Linked DNA regions of Notamacropus eugenii. The protein of the gene in region 4 purifies or fractionates together with the protein of the main gene of each other region. This does not show direct contact. Links are inferred from orthologs where the notes say so. Each region holds a gene or a part of one and is shown on either strand. Other genes may lie near its edges.

Region 1 (7,227 bases), on a different chromosome or scaffold from region 4:
TTTTTTTGCCAAATTTTTCTTGCTTAGCATTACCCCAGGCCTTTGGTCCTAAAGGACTTGCAGTATCGGCAACTGCAGTAGCATAATGTCATAGCCTATGAGCCATTTGTACACAGTTCATATGTCAATGTGTAAGATAGCTACTTTATTAAAATTTTCTTTTAGATGGAAAATGTTTTATTATGTCATCATAATGTGAAGTTTAATACAGTATTATTTCACTTGTATACTTATGCAAAGTAACTTTTTAAAAAAGTTGGCAGCATAATATTTTCTTACTTCCATTTCCTTTTATATTAGGCAGCATCCCTCCAGTTTACTGCCGGGTATTCTTACTCTAAATGCTGCTAGAAGGCACCAAGGTCTTGAATTCATAGCAGCTTCCATTGAGAGCAAGTTGCACATCTCTCAGATCCTCTTGGTGTATATGCCCATGGTCAAATGCTTTTAAATGATTAGTTTGGTACTGAACTCTGAGGAGATAATCCAGCATTAGCAAGAAGACACTGAAATTTCTGAAGTCCCAGTAGCTTTGAATTGGTGTTACTTTTCTCTGTTTCAGTTCACTTTCAGTATAGCTGCACATGTGTATTTCAAAACTGTGATCCCAGATAATTTTTGGTTAACATTATACTGCATTGTAATTTTTTTGGTAGCAACAAATATAATTGTTTCTTATCTTGCTAAGTTTGCTATTAAAATTAATTTGCATTCCATAAGAGAACACATCAACTGACAAGAACAAATTGGAAATAAAACAGCCCTAAAGTCTGTGGTACAGGGAAATCAGTCTGGAATTTTAAATTTGCTGGTGGATAATCTACCCTTTTGATAATTAAGAGCTGTATCTGTGTGGCATAAATGGCATATTTTAATTTACTATCAAGCCATTACCAGGGTTTAATAAAAAGCTGTCATAGATTCCCAAATGTAATAAACCTTTATTAAATTGGACTTCACTGGATATTTGTGAAAATTTGAATAGATATGATTTGTCTTTTAATTGTCTAGGAAAGGAAGAATTTAAACAAAACCTTAAAGAAATTCAGCTACTTGGGAGAAAGTGTTTTTAGAATGCTTTTAGAAGCATTCATTAACATGTAATTGCAAGGTGGCAGGGCCCACCAGTACTTAGGTAATGTTTTAATATGCTAATTATAAATCTTTGTTTATTTGTTAAAAACAATGCTTCCTTCATGCCACACTTTTTTAGGTTTCTTGCATGTCCTAGAAATAAGTAAAATTTCATTTCTTTGAATATAACATTTCTATATTTTATTAATTCAGATTAGTCTTCCTGTAATTAATCTCACTTGGTGAGGTTTTACTATATGCTGCAGGCTGAATTTATCTTATTGTGACCATTCTTAAGGAAATCATCTTTTTGCTGCATTAAAAAACCTTTTCATTTGTTGACATTAAGAAAAATGGAAACTTTCATGGTTTTATTAAGTGATTTTTGTACAATTACAATGTATTTGGAAGTCAATTTTGTAATAAACATGTTATGATAAAATTGATACAGCCTTGATAGTAAATGTAAAAAATAGAGACAAGAATTGTCCGTGTTCTCATTTTACAACTTATATTTAAAGCTTTATTATACTGATTATATTTATATAACCCTCTATGTGGTTTTCAAATTTTTTCTGTAGCTATTAAATTTGATTATTGGGATCACCCTGTTAAGTAGGCAAAGATTATCACTCCCGTTTTAAAAAATAAGGAAAATCAGTTTCAGAAAAGTAGTAAATGACAGCAGATTCTGGACTGTGACCCAGGTCTCCTGACTCAGCGTTCATTTAATGCTCTAATCATCTCTGATCTCCCTTTAAATTGAGGTTAAGGAAGTTTTGGGCAGGAGGAACTGCACAAGCAGGTGGATGATTGAGGGATCAGGTTTCCTTTAAAAAGCTGGTTAGAGATGGAATAAAGTAACTGGAGAGATTTCTGTTGTTTATATATATAGCACACAGAGCACATTCATCAGTAAACCTTTAGATAATATATGGCCACCAACAATTATGATAACTTGAGTTTTATTTATTAAGGCCACAGAGTGGGTACATATAATGGGCTGAAACATAAATTATTGCAGGAGCATTCTGTGATAGTTTGTCTCCTCTCACTCTTCCCTAGGGAATCCTCTGCAGTTTGGCGGCTGACCTCAACTGAAACCCCCCTCCCCAAAGTTACCGAACGTTTTCTTAAATGCCAAATCTAATGGCTTTTCCTTGATCCCTTGCTTGACCTCTTCTCAGCTTTTGACCCGGTTTACCACCCTCTCCTCGACACTGCTCTCTCCTGATTCTCTGACCTGCCTGATCTTAGTCTCTGTAACTTGGTCTTCAGAATTTTTTTCTCTCATTCTCCACAGTCATTCATTTGCCAGATCTTGTCCTTTCTATTTCTACATCTCCTATATCCCCTCATCACTCCCATAACTACCATTTTCCTTAAGACTTTGATCACCTCTTTCCTGGACTTGCAGTAACTTCCTATCAGGTCTCCCTCAAGCATAATCATTCCTCATCTCAAACTCTTAGTGACTAGTTCAGCTCTCCTCTCAGACTTTTGAATCTTTTGCTCTGTTGTCCCATTTCACCTCACTGCTTGTCAAACCCCAGCCCTGAATTCTTCTGCCATCTGCCTCCTCCTCTCTACTCCTCATGCTGCTGAATGAGTGAAGGAGGAAGTTCCTCCTGAGGATCAACAGACTCCATATGGAATATTCCTGTGTCCCCTAGTTATCCAAAACTTGGAGAAAACAGAACTCATCTTCCAGACTTGCCTGTTACTGTTGAGGACTCTACCATTCTTCTGGCCACCCCAGTTCTCACCCTCAGTGTTTTTCTTGATTCTTCACTCCCGGCCCACATCCCCGGTCATTTCCACAACGTTCGTTACCCCGTCTTCTCTGTGCTTCCACGTGGCCAGCTCTCTATGTCAGGCCCTCATGAACTCTTACCTGACCATTGCGAAACTGTTCTGATGGGCTTCGCTGCCTTGTCTCTCACCCCTCGTTTTCTCATCTATACGACTGCAGTAACGATTATCCCGAAGCACGGAGCTGATCGTGTCTCTCGGCTCCCAAAACTCCAGGGGCTCTCTGCCTCCAGGACCAGATAGAAACTTTGACATTTCAAGTTCTTACAGCCTGGTCCCATAAACTAACTTAAGTCTAATTATACTTCGTTCCCTGGATTCTGCAATCCAGTCATACTGCCCTTCTCTCAGTTCTGAACACATGATGCTCTGTGCCCTTCCTTCGGTCCCCAAGACTGGAATGCTTTTTGGTGCCCTTGGTTTCTTTTGAGACCAGCATGCAAATGCACAGCCTTTTATGATCCCCCCAAAGATATCTTAGATTCAATTCAATACATATTCTGTATATACTGATGTGGGAAACCAGGAAGAAATTCTGCTTCCACAGGTTAAAATTCCCAGTGTTAAGGGATCAGAGTTGTGATCTAGCACCCTCGGGTGAAAGGTCAACTTGATGAGCTTTGTGAAGGAAAGCCTTCCAGACAGGAGAACGTGAAGTCACCTGGCCAACGGAAGGTGTGGCGAGAAGTCCGGGATTCGGAGCAGTATAAAAGGGCTTGCGTTGGTCTGAACACACGGTAGCTTTCCTGTGGCCTTCCTCGGGAGCTAGCCCTTATGAACGTAGAAGGCTCTCCCTCCTCCTGAACAAGAGTTCAGTGCCTCTGATACGTTTTCCTCAGTATCCAGCCCGTTTCTGTCACCGATGGGCGCACGTGCTGCCTCCCCGCCGGAGGGCGCCTACCTGGGCGCAGGCATCGTTTTGCTTTTTCTTCTGCCCAGCACAGGGCCTGGCACGTACCAGCTGCTTCATAAGCAGTTCTGATTGTTCACTACATAAGTAACCGACACAACCAAGTAACGCGGGGGAGAGAGAAAGCGAGCGCCAGGTGAGGCGCTAGGGAAGACATCTAAGAAGGAAGCTGGTCCCTGGGGATGCAGACGGGGCGTGGCAAAAACGCACCGTCTACGGGCAGGGCCCGGTCACGGCTGCGGAAGCGCGGGGGAGGGAGGAAGGCCGCCCGTCGTGTCTCCTCAGAGACCTGCGCGCGCAGCGGGGGGCGGAGGAGGTACTCAGCAGGCAGTGAGAAAGGAAAGCTAAAAATACTTTACAAGATTCCAAAATTAAGGGGGACAAAAAGAACCGCTGGCTGCTCCCGGCTCAGGCGGGGCGGCCCCCGGCAGTCCGCGCTCACGCGGTAGAGGGGTAAAACCTCCGCACGTGCGCACCCGCGAGCTTCTAGGCCCGCCCCCTCCTCCTCCCAGGCCCCGCGTGCGGCGGAAGCTGATCCCCCCCTCTTCTGAGGCGCAGCAGCGGGGAGGGCGTGGTGGGAGGTCGGGCTGTGGCTCTGAGGAGGGGCTCCCGTGTCCGGGGCTAGCGCCCTCTTGAGGCATCGGGTGCTTCAAGAAAAACAGATCAAAAACGCCTTCCCCTATACTCTCTCTTCTTGTTTGAATGAATTCCCGGTGGTCAGAACCGTCTGCCTGAAGCTCCAGTCAGACTGAAACTAAACCTGCAGAGAGGCGGCAGCGCACCGGACCCTGTGAAGGAGGAGGGAAGAGAGCGAACGGGAAACCCCGCGAGACTGGGGGCGGAGACGGGGAGGGGATAACGAGGAGGGGGCGGGGACTTGGGAAGGAGAAGCGCGCGGTTTTTCCCGAGAGTCTCGAGAGAGGACCGAGCCTCGCGAGACTCAATAGGGGGTTGGGCGAAAATTGGCGCGCGGGTTTGCAGGCTGCTCCGGAGGTCCGTCAGGGAAGCGCGGCGGCTACCGTCACCTTGTTCGCCCGTGTGCCCAGGCTATGCCTCCCGAGCGCCTGCACCAGAGCGACGGTGAGGCGCCCTCGGCCCTGGGGCGGGAGAGTCGGGGGGCCTGAGGAGAGGCGACTGAGGGGGAAGCGAAGCGGTCGGCGTAGCCCTTGGGGGGAGGGCCGGCCCCGCGCGGCCTTTCCCGCGAGAACGAAGCTTCCCTGCTGGTGTTTGATGGGCTTGTGCTTCTGCCGGAGGCGGGGGCCCCAGCCTCCTCCCTGCTCTGGGCGGGCTCGCCCCCGCCCCCGCCAGCTAAGTCTTTCTTGTCTTCCCGCTGACGCCCCCGAGCGATCCTGACCGGGCCGGGGCCGCACGTCCGGGTGGGGGTCCGCCGCCGGCTCGGCGGGGCAGCATCCGCACCTGGTACCAAAAACCATTTTTCTCCTCCATTGAACGCAGGGCTCGTGGCGGCAGAGATGGATCAGCCACAGGACGACACCCCGGTGATCACCCCAGCCATGCTGGAGGAGGAAAAACAACTGGAAGCCGTCGCCATGGAGAGAGAGCGGAAAATGCTGGAGAAGGTACCGCCCTCACCCCCCCCCCCCCAGTGGCTGCTGAATTAAAAAAAGAGAGCATGTGTTTAAAACGGCCTAGCTTTTTTCCACGCTGAAAATCATTTTTTTTCTTTTTGGAAATTTTGGCTATCTAGCTTAGTGGCAATAACGTACTAATTTATTTCAAACTTACTTTAGATGTCAATAGTGTAAGCACTGTGAACAACAATACATAACTTGTATTTTTAAGAAATTCATTTGGAAAGTTTTTAAAAAGCATTTTAGTAGCTCATGGTTCCTGTGCATTTTCTTTTAAAAATTTGTGGATTTTTCTAAAAAAACAGCCATCGTGATGCCTATGAACATTTTAACCGTTTCTTAGAATCACCTTTACACATCTGTCAACTAATTGATCTTGAGAACATAAAACACTAAGTTCAGAATATGTCTTTCTCTGTTTATTACAGACCTGAAGAAAGCTAAGCTTTTAGCATTTCTACCTATTTTGATTTCTCATTTCTCAATTTGGAATAAATTGATATAAAAGAGAGAAGGTTAGTGATCTGTGAAATCCCTTCTGGCTCTCCATTCATATTCTGATCCTAAATAAAAAACATACACTTAAGTGAAATTTCTTTAGTACTTGATGCTCCCTCCTGCAATGCAGATTATGATCCTTTCACGCTTTTTTCATGAAGTGTTGTGGCCAAAAAATAATCCTATCCATATATGAAACTTGACCAGTGCTTACCTGCCAAAGATTTCATTCCACTAACATAGCCTTTGAGAATCCAGAGCCCAATTCCATGCCACAGACAGACATAGAAATAGGACTTTAATTGACAGCAACTAAAACTGATGACTTAAAAATTGTATTCCAGCTTTGAGTACTGTCTGAAGTGTATACACAATGTGTTCATTCATTGTTGTGACTTTGAGGTGATGTGCAAACATTTCTTGGTTAATTAAGTCACCTTTAGTGCTGATTAGGGAGGCATATGACTAAAAGAGGAGGGGAGGCAGGTCAGGTAGTAAGCAGACAGTTTGTGTGCTTCTTTAGTATCCAGGCAGTGTTAAGAAATCTGTAGAAAACCTCTAGCCCATTGCACCTGCTTGGAAGGTGTGGATCTGTTACTACATTCGGAATCATTGTATAGAGCAGCAAGATTAATGAAATCACAGATACATAGAAATGTACAGAGATTATCATGAGATATTATGAGATAACTATATCCTGTATGAATCTTATTTTCGACACATAAAACAATTACCCGGATTATCATTTTTCTCTTTAACTTTTTTATTCCTCATCCTCGAAGAGGTTGTATTTAGGACTAGCAGGACCCTCGTTGTGTTATGGTCCTTTGTTAATATGATTACCCAATACAGAAAGGAAATACATTATAGCTTACAACGTTGAAGGAAGGCATTGTGTTGTGGTTTGAATCCTTGCTCTGACATTTATCTATAATGGCTACGTATTGCTTGAGCCCTCTGGGCCTGAGTTATTCCATATATGAGAGAATTAGTCTAGGTGGCCCCTGAGGTTCATTCTAGCTCTAGATCTATGCTAAGTGCATAGTATGGTATAATAATTACTTGTCCAGTAGTATGTAATGCAGTTACTAATCCTGCTCCAGCAACTTTAAAATGTGGTGGATTGAAGGGGAAGGAAATAAACATGTATGTAAGACCTTTTTGATTTTTACAAATTTTCTCAGTTGATTCTCAGAACAACTCTGGGAGGTAAGTGCTGTTATTATTTTCCATTTGAGGAAACTGAGGCCAGCAGGTTAAGTGACTTGCCTAGGGTCACACTGTTTAAGTGACCAAGGCTGGATTGATACTTCACTTTACCATTTTAATTTTTATTGGCTT
Region 2 (7,973 bases), about 62 Mb from region 4:
TAAATATGATAATTGTTCTCAGAGAAATATAAATATTGAGCATATTTGTGTGAGTTAATGAATTCTGGCACGATGATTTCTTTATGCCTTGGTTAAAAAAAAGGCTTTTAATTAAACTGCCTCTTCTGACCTTTTATGTGTATGTACGTGTGTATATAGATGTGTGTGTGCATGCAGTACCACTCAGTGTAAGAGTATCATACAGAATAAATACACTTACACAATGAAATTTACATTTCCTTTTATTTGCCTTCATCAGCCACCAACAGACATATGCACACACCCCTTCTCCAAGTAATAGATCAAGCTGTAGATATGAATGAGAACAGATTTCATTTGGGGGTGATGCTGTAACACTGTGGCTGAGCCTCTAGGTTAGATTTCTTTATAATGAGTTTCCTTGTTTATATCTTTCTCCCTGTTCTTTAAAACTGGCAAGTATTTTTGTCACTATGTGTATGTGTGTATCTATATATAATCTTTAACACACACACATACACAAAACAGGACTCTTCCCTTTCCAGAGAGGTTTTTTCCTCCATGCACATTTAAATTAATCCTCTTAGGGGAGACTGTCTATATCCTGGGAAGAATGGTGTGACAAAAATTCCAGAAAGTTTTTCCCCTCCCTACAGTAGCTGAAGATGTAGGTGCTTGATATATAGATATATATGTCACACTGGGCTGCTGTCTTCTTTGACAGAACTACTGGATACAAAACAGACTGAACGCCAACTTGAACTTTCGGCATCAATAAATATGGCACCGTCTGTGTCAGTGAGGTTCTCATCCGTACGTGTATCACTGAGCAGACACGCCGGTAAACCCTGGAGGCATCTCTATTTACAGAAAACATGATCTATGTTGCATTTTACATGGGTTCTCATTTCCTGCCTTTCACAAGCATATATACACACTCCAGAGGATGACAGCTCCAACTGCAAGGATCATAAATTCACGAAGGCTCTCTTGCAAAATGGGAGTGGGGAAGGAGGGTGGGTGGGATTATCAGCCTTGGACACAGCCTGGTGGTCTTCCCTTTCTACTCCCCCGCCCTCACCCTAAGGATCAGTACCTTTTGCCCAACTGTCAAGCTAGCCTTTTCCCCCTCCCCCCTCCCCTTTTCTAAACTCCCACGACCCCCTAACGGTAAAGGACTGCTGGGTCGGGGGTAACGCGACTCGCCCTCTGCAGGAAAGGGGACCCGCAGACGCCAGGCAAGGACGCTTACTTTCCAAGCTCCTCGAAAAGCTGATACTCGTCGGTGAACCTGGTGCAGGTTGTAGTTGAGGCCATCATAGGTCCGAGCTGGCTCCTGTCGAAGAGGGAGGAGGATGAGACGGGACGGGAGGTGCTGCTGCTTGCCTGGGACCGGCCCCTGTGTCGCTATCACCCCCGAGCCGTCTTCCTTCACTTTTCTCGTCCAAAAAAGTGGCTGGATCTGGACTTGGGGGGGAGGGAAGGTAGGAAGGGTGCAATGGGAAAGAAAGAGTGCCGTAGGGTCCCCTCTCCACAATCGTACAATCCTTCTGCTCCCGCTTCCTTCTTTTTCTTCTCCGGCTCTGGACGCTCCACCCTCCCTCTCTGCCACCCCCACTCCCCAATTGGAGGAGGGGGGAAAGTATTATAGAAAAGGTGCCAGGAATTGGGGGTGGGGGGTGGAGAGAGAAAAAACTCAGCCAGCCACGGGGCAGGAGGCGAGCAGTTGCGAAACGATATGAACTGGGGACAAGGAGTAAAGGCGGAGGGGAGGGAGTGGAAGGGTGGAGAGGGGGTGGAGTGGAGTGGGGAGGGGGCAGGGGAAGGAAGAGAAGCCCGACGGAGACAACTCCAGTCCAGTTGCAGCTGTCAGCAGCCTCAGTCTCTCCACTCCAGTGGGTGGGTGGGTGGGTGGGTGTGCGCGAAGGAGCGCCAGAGCAATGGGAAGCTCGGCTCCTCTGGCCGGCTTCCCCTCCCCTTCCCCGCCCCGCCGGTGACAGCCGACGGCCAGCTGGGGTACCTATGCAGCTCTCTGGGAATGGAGAGGAGGCACGGCACCGAGCGCGCTGGGCACCCGGGGTGGGCAGTAGCAGGGCGAGCACAGTTCAGCCTCAGCGTCTCTGCTGTCCCCCAGCCCCTCCTCAAGCTACTGCGGGGCCACCCCCTCTTCTATGCCCCCCTTTTCTCTGTCCCACACCTCCCTCTAGCGACACAACCCTCTCAGCACGCAATGTGTGTGTATGTGTGTGTGTGCGCGCGCGCGCGCGCTGGGAAGGAGGGGTATACCCAGGCAGAGAGTGCAAAAAGATTAGAAAAGACGGGATCACACACACAGTTTGAAATGGTCTGGGGAGGAGGAGGAGGAGGGGTACGCAGGAACAGGGTCTCTGCAAACAGGTCTGAAGAGACAGACCCACAGACAGGCAGATACGCCTTGTAGTAAGGGAAAGGGTCTCCACACCCCGGGAGCGGCCGGCCAGGCAAAGCCAACTGGCCAAACCGGCCAGCTAGCCCTTTAACCCTCCCAGGCGGGGGTGGAATGAATCGCCGGCCGCGCGGGGAGGCCCTGCACAGCCCCCCTGCACCAAGCTCCCCGGGGGCGCAGAGCGGTACGAGCCCCCCTCCCCCGCGCTGCTCCGCACGATTTCCCGTGCGCCCTCAGAGTCGGACTATAGCAGGAGCCATGTCCCGGCGGGATCTCCCCGGGGGCAGGGGCCAACGACCCGGCTCCTCTGTGTACCCTAGTGCTTGGGTGCCCACCCGGTGGGGAGCCTTGGCATCCCGGCTTCCAGCTCGGAGCCAGCCCAAGGCCGGATGCAGAAGCGGCCGGGATGCGGAGCCGGGCTGGCTCCCACGCCCCAGCCAGGAAGGGGTTCTCCCTCTTCAGCTAGCCCAGGGGACCCCCGTTTCCAGGCTCCCCCGGCCGCTCTTAAAGGTGCAGGTGCGGACACCACGCCTGCACCTCCTCCACTGCTTCCCACAGCGAAGCCTGGGAATGGAGCGTGCATCAAAGGCCCCGGGTTGCAAACGGAGGTGTGAACAAAGACTTCACGCGCCACCCCGCGCTCAGCCGCACCTTTCCCTTTCTCTCCCTGTCCTCCCGGGAAGGTCTAGGCGCTGGGAGCGCAGGTTTCTCGCGAGATCAGTCTGTTTTTGTGGCAGAGGGGAGGGGTGGGGTAGAGTAGGGAAGGTTGTCTGTCTATCACGGGACCCAATGGAGGCTGACGTCATTTGCATCACATGAACTTGTCCAGCCTGTTTCGATTTGTAAAGGAGAAAAAAAAAAGGTAGGGCGCTTATGTGTGCTTGTGTACTCAAGAGTCCGGAGAGATAGCAGCCTTTACGTGTATTACACAAATGAATAGTTGAGATGCATGGATACCAATACGTGCGATGGGGCATTGCCACATTCTGGCTTAGTCTACATGCAAATGAAGACGTTGATGCCTATATATGAGCTATTTAATTTATGCAAAACAATCATTAGCACAGTAGCTGCAATTTAAGTCCAGTGGATAGCATGACAAACTGAACGAAATGACTTCTGGGTTTCCCTTTCTAGTTCTTTTAACTCCATAATAAGTATGGCAATTGCAAATTCAAAGGGAATGAGAAAAAAAAAACAAAAGGTTAGTGGTCATTTTGTAAACGAGTCCCTTTTGTTACTTCAGCCCAGATTCAGGAAAAATTGTCAACCACAACCACCTCCCACCGTAACTCCATACTGTGAACGTAACTGTGGACTTCTCAATCATAAAATGTTATAGCTGTAAAGAGATCTTTTGCAGACTGAGGCCAGAAGAGGTGAAATGTTTTACCCACAGAAACTTAGCTGTCTAAACAAGAAAATCCCAATCCATTGCTCTCCTGTATCACAATGATATCACAACAGTTGGAATAATACATTTTGCAAACCTTAAAGTGTTATAAAAATGCTACTGTTATCATCCTCATGACTGAAACATGTTTGATTATGTCATGTTCCAAAATCTTCAGGGACTTCTTGAAGGGTACAACTTTAATTATTACAACATTTATACACCTTCATAGTCTGATTACAGTTTATCTTTTCAGCCTTATTTTATGTGATTCCCTTTCAGACATTGTTCAAGCTAAGCTGGATGACCTAAACTCTTCCCCATCTCTTCCCATTTGTAAAGCGATCATCCATACCTAGAAGGCAATCTCTTCTGGTTCACTACTCATTCCAATACTCCTGTTCCTTTGAACAGGAGAGATCCTTAGCAAAGGTGCCTAACCCAAACCAAGTGGTGCTTCATAAATGCTTGCTGATGAATTGATTGACTAAGACAAAACTCAGATGCCACCCTGCTTCTACTTTATAGTGTTTTTTTAATTAATTTATTTGTTTTCAGTTTTCAATGATCACTTCCATAAGTCTTAAATTTCTCTTCCTCCCTCCCAAGATGGCTTGCAATCTTATATGGGTTCTACATTTACATTCTTATTAAACACATTTTCCCATTAGTTAAGTTACATAGAAGAATTAAAATGAATGGGAGAAACCATGAGAAAAACCAAAACAAAACAAAATGCAAGAGAAAATAGTCTTCTTCATACCATGTTTTTAACATCTTCGTCTTTCTTAGACTACTGTCCAGCTGGCTTCCTTGCCCCCATCACACTCAACTTTGTATTACATTTATTTCTGCACATGGTGGATCTCCACTGCAATGCTGTAAGGTTCTTGAGAGCAGTGACTGTTTCGTTTCTGTATTCCCAGTAATGAGCACCGTGCCTTTCTAATAACTGGCACTACTGAATAAACAGTGTTTGAATTGGTTTGCCTAACAATTTGGTGTTCCAACTCAGTACACCAAATGCCATTCATTTTTCAAAATATAAAGACTCCCACTTCAAACAAATCCCCATACCCATAAAATAGTTTGTGCTGTACATTCCATGCTGAAAAAATCAAATGTAAAGTCACTGCATTAAAATGTAATGCTAAGAAATGAAAACATGATTAAAAGTAAAGAAGATGAAGGGAATTAAGTCAATATTTAGGATGTGAAATGAAATCAGCCAGTCATACAAACTAATTCAAGTAAAATATTTTAAATATTTTAGTTAAGAAAAGAGCCTATATCACTTAATGAAACATTAGTTAAAAACAAAAAAGTTTGAAAGCAATAATTAAGAGGAATGTTTGTAAGGCCTTATAACAATCAAGAAATGTAATTTTTAAAAAGTATACAATTTATGAAACCTACACAATGACATCATTTTTCTCAACTCCTTAAATTTCAGCAATTTTAACACTATGAGGTTTGTATTGCACTATAAAAGACAAACAAGTTTTAATTATGCCATACCAGGAGAGTAGGAAAGCATAAACAATGTCCATATCACGTCAGTCTAAGCCAGGGGTGAGGAACCTTTGGCCTTGAAGCCATGTGTGACCCTCTAGGTCCTTGGATGTGGCCTTCTGACTAAGTCCAAGTTTTACATAACAAATCCTTTTATTAAGGGGATTTGTCCTGAGAAGTTTGGATTCAATCCAAGGACTGCACTTGAGGACCTAAAGGGCCACATGTGGCCGGAGACTGAAGGTTCCCCACTCCTGATCTAGGCAAATTCATCCTATCCCGTAATCCGTATTTTGGGATGTTTCATTTTTGTCTTTTTATCCTTAGGTTTCAGCACCATTCCATGCATATAAAAGGCCCTTGATTAGTGTTTGCTGATTGCTTAATTCTGATATTTAAATGAATCTTTGACCTCATTATTGAAGGTACTCCCCTTCAATGGTACAAATTGCAGCCTATCCCTGCTGTCTCATCCTGTGTTACTGTCTATATTCTTCCATGAATCATTCATGGGTTATCTATCCCCCTTGCTAAAGATCTTTCTCTGTCTCCTTTACTCGTCTGTGTATTAAAATGTAATACTTAGTCTGTGCATGTGTTATATCACTTGTTCCATGAGTGGTAGGTTTCCTTTGCCCATCATACATGTCCTTGATAATGTCTTTTGTACCATTTCTTTCACTAGGGCACCACATGGAACTTTTTCGTGTTTGAGAACTTATGTTCCATTGGCATGGCATTCAAGGTCCCATAAAACATCCAAGTAATACTACTAGGGGAGTTCTTTGTTCTAGTTTAATTAAAAAAAAAAGATTCAGTCCACTAAACAAATATTGCAAATAACTTCTGGAGACATATAAACTACAGTAAATAATCAAAGCAGTTCGTAGTCCTACTTCAATTAAAAATGGAAGATGAAATGCAAAAAAAAAAAAAGAAAAATCACATAAAATGAGATAAAGGAAAATGTCACAGAGGTGACATCTCACTTCAGTTTAGAAGTCTAATGATGTGGAATCATCACACTTTTTTTTTTAAACTTGACTTCATCAGTGTGACAGGAAACACTCTTCTCTGATGCTGGTCCACAGCCCATCTCTAACTTACAGCCTTAGAAAATTGCCTGGGAAGGAGAGAAAGAGAGTAAACATTTTTTAAGAGCCTACTATTTGCCAAGCCCTGTGCTAAATGCTTTACAAATATTATTTTATTTCATCCTCTCAACAACCCTGGGAGGTAGGGGATCTAATAATTGTCATTTTACATTTGAGGAAATGGGCAGACAGAGATTAAGTGGCTTGCCCAAGGTCACACAGTCAGTAAGTGTCTAAGGCTAGAATTTGAACTCTAGTCTTCCTGACTCCAGATCCAGCACCCTTCTTTGACACCTAGTTGTCTGGGGATGCTGAGAGGATAAGTGGTTTGCCCATCGTCACAGATGTAGAAGAGTTGGGATTTCATCTAGGCCTTCCTAACTCCAAGGCTGATCTTCTAACTTCTATATCATGCACTTACTCACAATTATTTTAGGCCTACCTGAATTGTCAAAACAAAAGATGGAATGTTTCCTTGGCTGTTTAATCTTCTTGGTACAGTAAGCACTCTGGTCAGGATCTTAATTGGTGAGATCAAGAATTTAATTGAAATGGAGTCTAAGTTGCCCAGTGATTCTTGGCTTCTTTAAACCAGGACAAAGATACAGTAAAGATTAGTATTATCAGATTTATAAAATGGAAAAAGTGATGATCAAGTGATCTAGATTTGGGAGTAGAGGGTTGGAGTGGAGGATGAGGGTTAGGGCAATATTTGAGGAAAGGTTATAGTACGATACAATAGGGATAGACTTGTGAGCTCCAGAATTAGTGGGTTCCCTGGGAATGTGGCCCTCACACTAGACACTGTATTTGATAGATTTCTATACCAAGGTTTGAATTCTCCTTTTTCTGGGTTACTTTTGATTCTCTCTATGGAATTATTTTGAAGACTTGTGGTTTCATTGGTAAACAGAAGTCCTGAGTCCAAAAAGTCCCTCTCTACCTACTATCTTTACCACAACCACAACCTTAGAGTTTCTCAGACAGCTAAGAGAAGCATCTAGGTGGTGCAGTAGATAGAATGCTGGACCTTGAGTCGAATTAAGTAGGTTCATAGATCTAAAGTTAGAAGGAGCCTTTAACAGCATCTAGTCCAACCCCCTTATTTTAAAGATAAAGGAACTGAAGTTTTAAAACGTTAAAAGACCTTGCCCACATTAGTAATATTCATCAGTATGGTTCAATGGAGAGAGCATTGGCCCTAGTTAGAATTCTACTTCTGTTGCTTGTCATTTAAATAGTAATTAAAAATAGTTGTTATTATAAATATTATAGCTAGTATTTATGTAGCACTTTAAGGTTAAATATTATCTCATTTGATCCTCATAACACCTCTGGGAAGAAGACACTATTATTATTCCTTTTTTATAGGTGAGGAACCTGAGGCAGAGATTAATGACTTGTCCAAGGTCACATAGTATCTGAGTCTGTATTTGAACTCAAGTCTTTCCAGACTCCAGGCCTAACACTCTATTCACTTTGCCTCTAACTTGGTGTAACTTTAGTCAAGTTATTTATGCCTCAGTTTCCTCATTTAATATTCCTCCTCTACTGTATGAAAAAATTGGAC
Region 3 (7,526 bases), on a different chromosome or scaffold from region 4:
AACATCTTTTTTATCAATGACCTGGAAAAGGAAGAGAAGGTATGTTTATCAAATTTGCAGATGTCAGGAAACTGGAATGGAATGCTAAAACACTGGATGACAGAGTCAGAATCCAAAAACATTTTTTTTATGCTTACAACCATTTATTGAACATATTAACAACACATCTTGAATTAGGATTTGGCTAAGTTTCACAATGGAGAAGCTAATGAAATACTCAACATAACCCGCCCCCCCCCCCCCCCCTGCAGTCCCTATGAACCTATGCAGGGCTTGAACCCACCTGCACAATTCCAAAAACATTTTGACAGGTGAGAATGACTGATCAAATCTAATAAGATGAAATTTACTTTCTTAGCTCTCATCAGTGTTCCTTCTAATAGGGAAACAAACTGCAACTTCGTCCATATCTTCTCTCCTCTTGCGCAATTCTTATCCATAAATCCTCTTCAGAGAATCTACCCAAATGAGTTCTTAACCTTTTTTATGTCATGGACCACTTTGATAAGATGGTGAAGCCTATGAACAACTTCTCAGAATAATATTTTTTAAATGCACAAAATAAAACACATAGAATTGAAAAGGGAAGCAAATGTATTGAAATATTTATCAAAACATCTTTTAAAAAATAAATCAAGTTCACAGATCCTAGGTGAATAACCCTTGATGAGTATTTTATTAGTTCATGGGTATTAGCATAACTTGAGTTCTCATTATTCCCTATGTGCCCTCCTTTTACAGCTAATCTTCTATTATTTATTTTTTTGCCATTTGTACCTAAGTCAGTGTCGATAATATTCTGCAGGGAGACACAGAATACCATCCCCTTTAACTGCTTTGCAGAGTTAAGGGGTCCATGAGTACGAGCCAGGCCATGTGTTAGTTTTTTCTACAAATTTACTAAGAACAGCATGGAGTAGCTGCTAAAAAAAATAATTTATACACAATTCTAGATGAGTACTCAAAACAAGGAAGGTGATAATCTAACCAACTCAATCCTAACTGGGTCACATTTGAAATAGTTTACTTATTCCTGGGAACCACAATTTAAGAGTGACGCTGAAAAATAGGGTGAGAAGCCCAAGAGCTATCTTTAAATACTAGAAACCACACCACTATCTTTGCCAAAGAAAACCCAAAATGGGGTCCTGAAGAACAACAACAACAAAAATTGTTTCTATCTTCACATCTTTTCTCAACTCAATTAATCAAACATTCATTAAGCATCTATTATGTGGCAGACACTGGCTGGGATACAAAAAAGAAGTAAAGGTCAGGCCCTGCCCTCAAGCTTTCAAATCTAACTCACCACAACCACTCTAGTTAAATCTTCACCACCTCTTCAGGGACCTGTTAGCTTCTTAATTCAATCAATCAATCAACATTTATAAAGTGCCAGCAGACCCTGTGCTAAGCCTTGGGAATACCAAAAGAGGCAAATGACAGTCTGCCTTCAATGATCTTACAATCTTATGGGGGAGACCACACCCAAACAAATAACGAACAAAGCAAGCTATATACAGGATAAATAGGAAATAATTAACAGAGGAAAGGCACCAGAATTAAGAGGAGTTAGGACAGCCTTCCTATAAAAGATGGGATTTTATGTATAACCTACTATGGAATTGCTTGCCTTGGGAGTGGGGGAAGACGGAGAAGGGGAGAGTTTGGAACTCAAGATTTTGAAAACAAATGTTAAAATACTTGTTTTTTACGTGTAACTGGGGAAAAAGTAAATACTAAATACCGCCCCCCCAAAAAAGATGGAATTTGAGTGGGGATTGAAAGGAAGCCAGGGAAGTCTGTAGACAGAGTAGAGGGAAAGCGTTCCAGGCACGGGGGGCAGCCGGAGAAAATGGAGTGTCTCCAAGTCTCAGTTCTTCTCTCTGCCTCCTTTTCCCAATGGCTCCTTATTGCCTCTAGAACCAAATACAAACTCTCATGTTTATCACTGACGGATCTTCCTGCCTTCCCAGGGCTTGGCACAAGGGCTGGCACAGCGCAGGCCCGTAATAAAGGCGTACTGTCTTACTACACAGAACTGTCCTCGCCCGGGCACTGCGCTGGTACAGCTTTCAGCAGTGTCCGATTCCGTCGCCCCATCTCGGGGTTCTCCGGGCAGAGATCCTGGCGCGGGGGCCATTTCCTCCTCCAGCTCGTTTTACGGATGAGAACACGGAGACACCGGTTAAGGGACCTGCCCAGGCTGACCCGGCCAGGAATGTCTGAGGACTGCTTTGGACTCACGAAGGCGAGCGCCGCGGGCTCCAGGCCTGGGGCTCTATCTACCCACTTCGCCACCCAGCCGCGAGCGCCTGGCACATAGGAGGTGCTTAATAACAGCGTGTAGACTTGGTCTAGATCCTCCAAGCCTGGAATGCTCCCCTTCCTTCCTTGCACCTCGCATTATTATAGCCTTTAAAGTCCAGATCTCCTTCCCCAGAAAACAAGCCCATGTTTATTTTGAAAAAGAAGCTCCGCGCGTCCTCTGAGCGGCACTGGCAGCGGCTCCTGCAGCATGCCAGCTTCTTAAGGGCAGGGTGCGCCTCCTCTCCCCGTCCCGGTCGCCCACGCCAGCGCAGGGCACTCAGCAGGCCCCACCACTTCTCCGACCCTTCCCCCCTCAGGGCCCCTCCCCCATCGAGAGGCGCCTCCTGTCCCCCACAACGCGGGGCGGCCCCCAAAGCTCCGCTCTCCCTCGCCGCCCCCTCCCCTCTCAGGTTCTTTTCTCTCCGCTCGCCCCACCCCGCATTCGCCGCCCTTCGGCAGCTCCCTCACACCGTCCTCCCTCCGCTTCCGCGACACCTCCTCTCCATTTCCTCATTCCGACACTAGGGTGCATCCTCGACTCCCCTCCTGGTCTTACCTGGCCGCGCACGCGCGCGTCCCTCCTAGGGGCTACAGCTCCCAGGACCCGCTGAAGGTCCCACTTTCAGGACTCACTCCGTCAGCCACTTCCCCACCCCCATCTCCTAGTAGCTGCTGGGGCAGCCTCCGGCGCCGCCGCCGCCGCCCAAGCCCACAGTTTGAACTGCAGCGCCGCCCCCTCGTGCTGAGTCCTCATTGGTCAAACCAAGGAGACATCATGGTACACATGCGCACTCTCACAGCCCCGGCAGGGCGGGAGAAAGAAGGAAGGTTGCTTGGGAGAAGGGAGCCTGGAGCAGGACGGGGGGAGCATCGAGTCTCTATCTCCTCAGGCCGGAGGGAAGCTTGAACTACAAATCCCAGTATTCCTCGCGGCTCCCTAAGGGATTGGGCAGGGGCCCGGGTCAGAGCGGGAAATGGAGAAGGGGTGATAAAAGGTAGAGGTCGGGGCAGAGAATTTAGGAGCGACGATTGTAGGGACTGAGGAACTTTAGAAGGCCAGACTGTGTTGAAGTTTCGGTTTCTGACCTTGAAAACCGCAAACTACAAGTCCCAGGATTCTGTGCAGCTAAGTAAAACCTTCTTCCCGTTGGCCACGGTTAGGGGCGGGGAGGGCTGTAGGTCCCAGCATGCCCCGGGGCGAGGCGTACAGAGGTTGGGAGGCTGTGATGATGATGGTTACCATGGAGTTGGGCTAAGCGTGCCGCTGTCTACGGGAAGGCAAAGGCTGAAGAAAACGGAGCTGGTGAGCTTGGGCAGCAGCTGGTGAGCGCACTGGGCAAGGACTGAGGCGGATACAGGTGTCATGCCAAGCATAGGTAGCCCTATTACAAGGGCCTGAGGTGGCCCCAAAGCAGAGACAGCTAAGCTGTAAGAACCTGAGGTAGTCCGGGGAGAAGGTAGCTTGGGAACCCCATTTATTATTCACTCAGCAGACATGAAGTGCCTACTATATTCCAGGCACTGGGATAAGCACTTTGTTCAAAGACAAAACGAAAAAGTTCTAGCAGTCAAAGAGAATACGTTCTTTTTCGGAGAAACTCCAGTAACAGATAAGTAAAATGGGAAATAATTGGGGAGGGGGCATGGCAAGTCAGGGGCGGTAAGGTCAATTGGGGAGTGATCGAGATTGGCCTAGTGAAGAGGTATTTGAATTTTAACCTTGAACTAAGGGACTAAAAAGGTGAAAAAAAAAATGTATACCAGGCATGGGGGTGAGGTGGAGCAGGGACAGCTTGAGTAAAGGCACAAAGGCTAGTTTGGCTGGAGGGCAAGGTGTCTGAAAGGAGTAAGTAATAAGCCTGGGAAAGTAGGCTGGAGCCAGTTTTTGAAGGGCTTTAAATATCAAACAAAAGTTTGTATTTTAACTTAGTGACAATTTGGGAGCATCTGGAGCAGAGGAGTGACCTATGCTTTAGGAATATCAGTTTGGCAACTCTGTGGAAGATGGAATGGAGAGGCCAGAGACTGGAGGCAGGGAGACCAATTAGGGACTTTTGAGGTACTTGCTAGGCATGACAGAGGGTGGGTACTCCCCTCCCCATTTCTGTAGCCTAAGAGTTTCAAATTCCTAGAAGCAGACTTTGGCACCATACCATTGGGATGGTGAAGAGGAGACCACCACCAAAATGGGGGAAAGGGTGCTTTCAATCTGAGAATATGGGGGTTCTGACAGAGGCAAGACAGCCAGCCCAGATGGAGGCTATTTCTTGATTTTCTCCCCTTTTCGGTAAGACAGCTCAGACATTAATAGCCACCTAATATATCAAGTAACTAGAAATTTTGGAACTGGGTAAGCAACTTCCTACACCCTTTCCACTTTCATTTACTCTATGAAAGCCCAATTAAATCATTAATGGTATTCCCTTTATCCTGTTTCCTTTAATACTCTATCTTCATGTGCCCATGGAAACATAGATGTCTCCAGAAGACACAGAATCACTACTTCTTGGGTGCTGTTTGCTCCTCTCATTTCTCCTAATAGGCTTGGACAGAAGAAAAAATATATTCCTGGTTCCCCAGTGACACTTCTAAACCCTCCATCTGCAGTTATTACTCAGCAAATACTCCCTCTTTTTAGGCCCATTGCATTCTTCTGAATGGTAGTTAACTGGCATAGTGAATAGAATGCTAGGCTTGGAGTTAGGAAAACTTGAACTTAAATCCTGTCTCAAACAGAGTACCTTTGTGGTGCTAAGTAAGTCATGTAACATCGTTCAGCATTTGTTTCATCTGTAAAGTGGGCTTAAGACCTATTTTATATCTGTGGTGTTCATCTTTTGGTATGATAGTCACCCTCTCACATTCAGTACTTGGCTCAGTCTTTCCCTCCTCCATCCCAAACCCTCCCTGAATACTTGGGGATTTCAATTTCTACATTGAGGTCCCCTCAAACACCCTGGTCTCCCAACCTATCAACCTTAAGTCACATGACCTAGGTCATCCTTATGCCAAAGCTATCCATAGGGATACTGAATCTTTGATCATAACCCTTGGTACTCTTGCATCATTCCTAAAACTGTCCTTCATCCTCAGCATACCCTTCAGTCCCTCCATCCTTTGTTGTTCTGGTACTAGAGTTGACCGCTTCAATGGCATACTAATGTGTATGTACCCTTGACTCTTTTTACCCTTCATGATCGTGCCAGAGGCCTGTGTTACCCTCACCCTCCTTATCTTCTAATTCTCTTCCAACAGCCCAAAGAGGAAGGCACTCAAAATGACTGCTGATTCAACCCCATTGTTATCTGATCTCAGCTGGGCCCTCAAAGCTGCAGTCTTTTTATTCTGATTCTCAAGATTATTTGAAGTGATTCATCTTTGTTCAAATTCCTATGTACTACACCCTTTCCTCCCCTCTCAGAAGACTTCAATTCCTACCTTAGTGAGAAAAAAAGCAAAGTTATCCATCTATAGTAAGTTCTCCTGTCCTATGATATACCTTAAAATTCCTCCATATCATTCTCCATTCTTTCCTTTTACTCCCCTATCTGGAATACACTTCCTTGGAGAAATCAGTTTTAGTTGAGTATTGAATTTGGAGGCCCACCTATTCTTATTAGAATATTTTATTATTACTATATTAGAATATTACCATATTCTTTCTCCTTTAAGGAAAAGGTCAGTGCCATTTCTTTGAAACGAACACTCTTGCCAATTTCAGATTTTCCTACAGCACTCCATCTTGTATTTGCCCTTATCCCATTTTTGTTCTTATTTGTGTACATACCTGAGCCTTCCCAATTTTATTAGACTTTAAGGTCTCTGACAGTAAGCACTGCCTATTTAAAAATTTGTGTCCCCAGTGCCCCAGTCTCTGATAAAAAGGTGGTGTTTCTTCCCAAGGCTAACTTCTCCATTTGTGCTCTTGATCCCATCCGCTCATCTTCTCTTCCATCATTCTCTGGCTCTTTCACTGCTGCCTGCATCACCCATTATGTCATTGGTCATCTTCAAATACAAAGGACAAACAGCAACAAATGTCACCAAGCCTCCCCCATCCTTAAAAATCTTTCACCTGCCCCATATATTGTTGTTTGTCCTTCCATTTTTGAAGAGGACCAGTGAAGTCACGGGTTGTGTCTCGACTTGTGTATGAAATTCAATTTAAGTGAGGTAGAGTTGCACAGTCATCAGCCTCACACTCCCTTCCTGAGTCACAAAGTCCAGTGGCAGGACAAAAGTCAAGGTGACTGGCCATGGCACAGAATGCAGCATGTGACTTTTGCTTCACAGCACCTGCTTTAGCTACCATCCTGGCCATTGGAATGAACTGTTCTCATCTGCCCATTCTGCTAGGGAAAGTCTTCACGTGCTTGGGGTAGACATTCCCCTAGCCACCAACAGGTTGAAGATCTGTCAGTTACCCTCAGCTTGTTTTAGTCTCTCTGCTGATTGGTTTTACTGGGGTGTGGTTACTGCACATGCTGCAGCTTCCAGGAGCCACAGGTGAAAACTGGATGAATCAAGTGGATATCAAAGATGGATGAGCAGCCCCTGAAAAGTGGCTCAAGAAGCCTTCACACCAGAGGTGCTAGTCCTCCTGAACACCCCATACAATAACCCACCGTCCCTCACCCCTTCACGCAAATATATTACATAAAGCTAGACAAAGAGGGATTTCTCTTTCAGAGCTATGCTATACTTGTTGCCTCTACTTCCTACACCAGCACTTGCCCTGAAACTCCACTATTGGTCTAAAACTGTTTCCTCGCAGATGACACACAATCCTTAGCTACTAAATCTGATACCCTTTTCTACAATCATATTCTTGACCTTTCTGGAACTTTCAACACTATCACTTGCTCCAAGATAGTCTTTTAGTTTGCTTGACATTGCTTTCTTCTGGTTCTAACAGCACCTTCTCTGGTTCTTATGCTATATCATTGATTAACTGAATAAATTTAAGTAGCTACTATTGCCATTCTATCCCAATATGGACAATTTTGATGGGAGAGGCTCTGGCAGCTGGAGGAATTAGCAAAAGCCTCAGAGGAATGGCATTTGAAGTGACCTTTAAGGGAAGCTAGGGATTTTAAGAGGTAGAGGTGAGCTTGGAGAACAGCTTGAGCAAAATCAGAGGCCAAAGGCCAAAGGATCACAGAGCTGGATGTGACTATAGAAGCTATCTCCTCCAACCCCTTCAATTTATAAATGAG
Region 4 (6,851 bases):
TTACCTCACCCATGAGGGCCTCCCTAATAACTCCAAATAGAAGAGTCCTTTCCAAGCTAGTATTTCATGCCTGTTTGACCTTTCTTATACATCTTTCTAAGCTGTATTAATGTATATAGATAGCTCATATCCTTTCTATTAAGCTGTAAATTCCTTACTCTATTTGTGTGTGTGTTTTCTTTTACAACATGGCTAATATGGAAATGTTTTGCATGATATCAAATGTATAATAGATATCGAATTGGTTACCTTCTCAAAGAGGTAGGAGGTGAGAGAGAGAATTTGGAACTCAAAATGCTGAAAAATGAAGGTTCAAAAATTTTTTACATGTAATTGGGAAAAATGTAATGAAACTTCAAAAAATTTAAAAAAAAAGAAATGAAGGGGATGGTTTCAGAAAAACCTGAGAAAACTATGAACCAACATAAAGTGAAGTGAACAGAACCAGGAGAACACTGTACATAGTATAAACAATAAGGATTAACATTTATTTTTGCCCTACTTGATCTCTTCATTACCAGAATTCAAGTTTTTCAAGGGAAGATTCTAATTTTATCTTTACATTTTCACAAGCACAAGGCCTGGAATAGTATGCACATAATAAATGTTTTTTGAGGCAACGTGGCATACTGAGAAAAGAAGTAGCCTTGGAATTAGGGGAGACCTGGATTCAAATCTGGCCTCTGTCGTCTATTAGCTATGTGACCATGCTTGAGCAAATTATTTAACTTCCCAGAGACCCAGCTTCTTCATCTGTAAAGTATAAACGACAACACTACCTACAGTATCTACCCCAGAGAGGTTTTGTGAGGATCAAATGAGAATATAAGTAGAACTCTTTGAAAGTGCCATCTCTGCTAAACAGATGTTTTAAGTTCAGCATCAGTACAACCAGTATCAATTTTTCTTTCCTTTACGCTTTGCATTAAAGGATGGTGACTCCCGTACATTACAAATATATATTAAGGATGTTCAGGATGCAATGACTGAACTTTTACTCTTCAAATGATATGCGACAAGTATAAAATGAAAAAAATATCAGTGTTAGAACTAAAGAATATTAGAGCTTAAAGAACTTCAAAGATCATATAGCCCAGCACTTCCCTTATTTAATAGTTGAACAAACTGAAATCAAGAGGGTCAAGTTGACTTGTACAACACTACACAGTGAGTGAGTGACTTGTGACAGAAGTATCCCTTTCCCCACAGCACAAAAAAATTAAAAGCTATTTCAAGACAACAAGGTATGAGAAAAAAATTATCAATTTAACTCTAACTGAAATAGGTAGCTTAGCTCTCTTCTCTGGGTCATAGGATTTAGAGGTAGAAAGGAGTCTTAGAGATCATCTAGACCAATTGCCCCATTTTATAAATAAGGATACCGAATACTAGAGAGATGAAGAACCTTGACCAAGGCCACACAGATTTGTATAAATTTAGGTCCTTGGATTCAAAATCCAGTGCTTCTGTCACACTTAAAGCTTATAACTTACTAAATTCACCAAAATTTCAAATTTTGAAAGCAAAAGATAACATTTTCATTATATGTCAATTGGTAAAACTGACAAGATAATTCTTAAACTGAGATACTTACTATGTCAGCTGTTTCATTTTCATCACCATCTCCATCCTGATTGCTTTGCATTTCATTGCATTTAGCATTCCTGGGCATCACAACACTTGGCTCTGTCTGAGAACCCAAAGCTGATCTTTGTTGCCTGTATTCTTCCTTGGGAAACACAGCTTTTCTTTTTGGAGCCCCAAGTTCTCTGTGTTTCCGTTTGACTTTAGGCCTCTCTTCGTTAGGACTATTTTCTGATAGACTGTGAAGGCTCATCATTTGGCCCTGTTTGCTCTTTTTGACAACAAATGGGAAAAGGAGTACTTGAGCTTGCTTCTGTAAAATTACAGTCTGCTGCGGTGTTAGAGACACGCCAGGGATGCTCTGAGCGGAGTTAGATTCGTTCACCTGTTTAGTTCAATAAAAAACGCAAAGTGTTAGAATCTGATCTTCCTCACAAAGTCCCCTGCTTGACCCATGTAATCCCTAAGTATCTGATGGTCCGCAGAAGATGGAGTTTAACCAGCCCTCATCGCAGCTGTCTCTCTCCCACACCACGGCTCCAATACCGGTATGCCACCAGTTTCCGAACAAGTCCGGAGTGACTTAAAGAAATCACGAAATTAGCACCCACACTGAACTGCATGTCAGCAGAGGAGTCCAGAGCGCAAGAGGCCAAGCCAGGACAAGTCTCTTGTTCACCCTGGGGCTTCATTTCCTCCCCTTCCAAAAGGCTTAGGCTCACCAGGGGCCAGCACCCTCAGCCCAGCCCAGGAGATCCCGCCTACTCCCCTGCTCAGGCTTGTGCAGTCCAGCTCCCCACTTGCTCTCAACCTCCAAAGCCCGCACCTGGAGGGGCTCCCCGGACCCTGCCATTCTCTCCCAGCTCCAGCTGCCTTCCCGCCAAGAGCGCCCGCCAAGAGAAGGCAGCCCGCCAGGGCGGGGACAGAGAAGGCCGGTGCTCGGGCGGAGGAGGCCCGGCCCGGCCGGTGGGCGGGACCGGGAGGCGGAACCGGGAGGCGGAAGCTAAACCAGGCGCTGCCTGGAGAGAACCGGTGGTAGTGGTCACATCGCCTTCAGTCCCTTCGTCATGCCATGTGGGATCACTTGGCTAAGTTACCCGAGTGCTGGGCCATTTCCTTCTCCAAGACCAAGAAGGTTAAGTGACTCGCCCAGGTTCTCAGGGCTAACGGGGCTGAGCTCAGATCCGACCTCAGACAGAGCAATCTTCCGGATCCCGGTCCTGGGCTCTACACACCTGCCACTGGACAGAGCCAATGCGGAGGGGGCTAGGGCGCCCTCCGCCACGGCAAACCCTGCCTGGGCAGTGAGAGGGTGTGCGGGTCTGGTCCCGCAAAGCGACATTAAGAGCTCGGCTTGTGCACTTCGTCCCTTTGTGTCTTAGGCAATCTTACAGGACCTTGGTTTACGTCTCATCCAAATGGAAGCGCCCTCCCCTTTGTCACTGGGTTGTCACGCTTTGAAAACCTTAAAACAGCATATAAAGATGAGCCTGTCAGTGCAGAACTGCAGATTCTCAGAGTTGAAAGGGACCTCAGTGTCCTCCTGGTCCAAATGGCACCTGAGAAATGATTCCTTCTTCAACACAACCGACAAATGGCCAGTTGGCCTCTGCCTGAAAGTCTGCCCTTGGAGGAAACTCAATGGTCCAAGGCAGCCGTTACACTTTGGGGTAGCTCTAACTAAACACCAAGCTAAATTGGCCTCTGCAACATCTGCTCATCACTCCTATTTCTGCCCTCCAAAGTGAAGAATAAGACTGTTTTCTTTTAGAAATGATTGAGAATTATGAACATGGCTGTAACAACCCACTCAAAAAAGTCACAAGAACTCAAAGTGTGGCTGTCCTTTTACCTCTCCAGGTGAAACATCCTTCAACAGGCCTTCATATAACGTGATAATAATGTAATATCATTGGAACCTCAAGGGCCAGAGCCTCAACTAATCAACCAGAAGAAGCAACAGATCTAAGTAAACGCTGAGAACGCCTCCGTGTCAACAAGAGCTGACCTGAGCATTCTTCTATTAATGCCTACCAAGGACAGCGGGCCTTAAGCAGACACTACCTAGAATAAAGGGACTTTCTCTTATCTTAATATTTTATGAACATATACTGTGTTATATCATGTTAATGGTAAAGAAAACAGATATCCTGGGTTGTAATTTCAATCGACACTTTGTCAACTCTCTTATCTTATTGTATTTACAACCTATTCAATTAAGAAAATTCCTTTTCTCATACTATGGTTAAACATATATGGAGATCATAAATTCGAGAGACATAGACATGCTGAGTTGAGATTGCTCTAAAACCTGTTTAAGGCTGGTCATTCTTTTATCAGTCAGAAATCATGTTTTGGCTCTGTGTATGCATGTATCTGCTAGCTAAGGAAATAAACAATATGAATTTCTATATCACCTAGCCTGTTTGGGTCTTTTAACCAAACTTTCAAGTGGACACATGAAATCGAGGCCCTTCACCATGTTGTTCTACCTCTACTGGATCAGCTTATCAATGTCCTCCCTGAAATTATGTACAGTTTTGTGCAGTATAATGTGTTTTGATGCCCCAAAACCACAGGTAATAGTCCAGGTTTGGTCTGAGTAAGGCACAGTAAAAAAGTAATTGGCTTTTAAAAAATGTTTATAGTAAACAATTGTATTTTGGTAACAGCTCAGGTTTAGATATATTGAGTTTCAAGTGTCAATGGAAAATTAGGTAGAGGTATTCTGTAGACAGAAGGAGATACAGATCTGGACATAGAAGAGGAGTCAGATGAGTTATCTCAGTAAGTGGAAGCTGAAGTGGTGGGATTAATCAAATTGCCAAGGGAAATAGTATAGAAATGAGAGAGGGCCAAAAATATAAAAATAGGCAATACCACAAAGAGGAGAAAGAGACAGTGAAAGAAGTGGAAAAACCAAGAAAGTGGTATCCAAAAGGTGGTAGTCAACAGTGTTAATATCTAATGAGAAGAAAAAAGCTTTGATAAACCTGTTAAGCAAACAGAAAATGTGATCTAAGTATTCTTATAAATTATTTTAAAAATTGCAAGGAAAAGAAATATTTGTTCCAATAATGGAAAAAAAAAACTTTTTTTAAAAAACAAAAAAAGGGGAAGAAATTAGTAGACAAAGTTCAGTGGGTTTGAATATGCAAGAATAAAAACTTTGCACAAGAAACTAAAAAATATCTAGTCTAAAATAAAAAGAGTGAGGAAAACAGATTTGTAATGTATCTGATAAAGATTTATCTTCCAGAACATATAAAGAACTGATAGACAGCTATAAAATTAATTTACACTCCCCAATGAGGAATGGCCACAGGTCATGTAAGAGACAGCAAAAGTTAAGTTTCCACAGAAGTTATTATTAGTTGATGAAGTCAGTGAGAATTCAGATAATAAGCCTAGCTGACTGTAGGTGGACTCAACCAATCAAGAGACAGACAGTGGCCTTCAGAAAATTACAAAGTTTCAAATCTACAGTTAGCTGGAACTAGTCAGGGAAAAATGACCTAGAGTTACCAGGAGAAGGCTTTTCTTCACTGAGTTTGCTTAATGAACCTCAAGTATATAAACAGACACTCTCGGCATAATATTATCCCTCCATTTTCTGATCATGGGTCCTATGTTAAAGAATGTGTGGGAGGGGGGATCTCACCAGGGGTGCTTATGTAATGGGCATTTAGAGAAGATCATGACCTAATGGACAATGGACCAATCCGTCTCTTGATGGGATGATCTGTCCTGAGCTAACAGTATAAAGCCAATCTCACTTATGTATCTGACACTCACTCCTCCCCAAAAGAGGAAGGAGGCCCGCTTTGGCCAACGTGTTCAATTCCTCTGAACTCTGCTGCAATAAATTTCCCTTGATACTTTATTAGTGTCAACAGGTCATAAACAATTTTTGAAAAAAAATACAGGTTAAGAACTACATGAAAAGATGTTCAAAATCCCTAATGATAAAAAATGGACAAATCAAAAAACCTGGAAATGTTTTTTGTGCAGTGTGCTCTTGGGCAATTCACTTCCCCTCTAAGCCTCATGTTCCTCATTTATAAAATGAGGGAGTTCTCTTCCAGCTACAGTCATATTCCTTATAACCATTATATTGCCTGAAATGGTAAAAAAAATGATAAAACTTCAGTAGGACACTGTAGAATTCAGTAACTCTGACAAAGCAGAAAACATACATTATTTAGCCAAAAATTGCTGGGAAAACTAGAAGGCAGACTAGCAAAAATTCGTCTCAGATCTATTCCACATTACATTCCCTAAACGTCATATCTACCTTCTGATTAGTCCTGATTTTGAAGTACAGCTGAGAACGATTTCTGAAACGGGAAAAATATCCTTCTCTCCCAGTCCTCTAATCTAAACAACAGGCCAACAACAGGTGGTTTTATTTACTGGTTTGTCTGGGTCTAAAAGCGTATGTTTTATGCATGATTAAAAAACCTTCTAGAATCACAAGGTCAGCTATTGTGTATCAACAAAGCAATCAAACTCTGTGTTCAGCAGCCTTTACATTTAAAGATAGAAGATCTGGTTATAATCCAAGGCTAAAACAATTACCAGTTTTTAAACTGCCCCTACTGCCGCCCCACGGCACTCTACTGCTCACCTCCAGCTCGAGGGTACCTGGAATACCCTTTCTCATCAGCTAAGCTGAGTCCTTTATTCCAAAAGAACACAATCCATTCACAAATCTGCATTATTTACTTCTCTTAGATGCCAGAAAGCTAGATTTTCCTTCACTTCTTTGCACCCCCTTCCGGCGCTCCCCAACAACAGATGCGCAGTAACTACGGGCTTATGGACCGCAGTGCAAACGGACGGAAGGAACACAATAGGCTCCAGCTGGACCGAGAAGACGGCATTTGGGGCCCAGAGGCCTCCCCTGCCTCCCTCCAACCTATTTCTCAACACCCGGGGACCCCCTGGTGGGAATGTAGAGATTTGTGGTGAAAGGGTGGGAAGAGGCCCTGACTTTCATGGTAAAGGGGTGGGATAAAATCAGATAAAATATTAAGTGAAAGTAAAAAGCTACAACAGTCAATCAAGGAACTTGAAAAGCTGCAAACATTCAAACCAGTTAAATCCAGGAGCTCCCGGGCCACCCTCGCTCGCACCCTCCACGGAGGCTCTCACCCCCTACTAAAGGCTGCTCCTGAGCCTCAGCCCACCTTCGGGGTCCCTTCCGCCCTGGATCCTCTGATCTGGAGTGCCGGTGGCAGGGCCGAGGCTCACAACCCAGCCGTCCC

Evidence for each region.
Region 1: the proteins of WDR76 (region 4) and HELLS purify together in Homo sapiens (affinity purification with mass spectrometry; 4 studies listed by BioGRID and IntAct, counting the BioPlex papers as one, with this or other methods). This does not show direct contact. The link is inferred for Notamacropus eugenii from reciprocal best matches to the Homo sapiens genes WDR76 and HELLS.
Region 2: the proteins of WDR76 (region 4) and CAMK2D purify together in Homo sapiens (affinity purification with mass spectrometry; 3 studies listed by BioGRID and IntAct, counting the BioPlex papers as one, with this or other methods). This does not show direct contact. The link is inferred for Notamacropus eugenii from reciprocal best matches to the Homo sapiens genes WDR76 and CAMK2D.
Region 3: the proteins of WDR76 (region 4) and NUMA1 purify together in Homo sapiens (affinity purification with mass spectrometry; 3 studies listed by BioGRID and IntAct, with this or other methods). This does not show direct contact. The link is inferred for Notamacropus eugenii from reciprocal best matches to the Homo sapiens genes WDR76 and NUMA1.

Annotation. Positions count from the first base shown.
Region 1 is NC_092872.1:211,200,913-211,208,139, forward strand, and holds the start of HELLS (lymphoid-specific helicase), read left to right. Parts: upstream 1-4,225; 5' UTR 4,226-4,845; coding exon 4,846-4,876; intron 4,877-5,251; coding exon 5,252-5,376; intron 5,377-7,227. UniProt on the Homo sapiens protein: Plays an essential role in normal development and survival. Involved in regulation of the expansion or survival of lymphoid cells. Required for de novo or maintenance DNA methylation. May control silencing of the imprinted CDKN1C gene through DNA methylation.
Region 2 is NC_092878.1:115,955,007-115,962,979, reverse strand, and holds the start of CAMK2D (calcium/calmodulin-dependent protein kinase type II subunit delta), read right to left. Parts: upstream 3,009-7,973; 5' UTR 2,988-3,008; coding exon 2,740-2,987; intron 1,316-2,739; coding exon 1,232-1,315; intron 1-1,231. UniProt on the Homo sapiens protein: Calcium/calmodulin-dependent protein kinase involved in the regulation of Ca(2+) homeostatis and excitation-contraction coupling (ECC) in heart by targeting ion channels, transporters and accessory proteins involved in Ca(2+) influx into the myocyte, Ca(2+) release from the sarcoplasmic reticulum (SR), SR Ca(2+) uptake and Na(+) and K(+) channel transport.
Region 3 is NC_092876.1:96,760,688-96,768,213, forward strand, and holds the start of NUMA1 (nuclear mitotic apparatus protein 1), read right to left. Parts: upstream 3,001-7,526; 5' UTR 2,867-3,000; intron 1-2,866. UniProt on the Homo sapiens protein: Microtubule (MT)-binding protein that plays a role in the formation and maintenance of the spindle poles and the alignement and the segregation of chromosomes during mitotic cell division.
Region 4 is NC_092878.1:54,056,150-54,063,000, forward strand, and holds the start of WDR76 (WD repeat-containing protein 76), read right to left. Parts: upstream 3,022-6,851; 5' UTR 2,438-3,021; coding exon 2,411-2,437; intron 1,970-2,410; coding exon 1,595-1,969; intron 1-1,594. UniProt on the Homo sapiens protein: Specifically binds 5-hydroxymethylcytosine (5hmC), suggesting that it acts as a specific reader of 5hmC.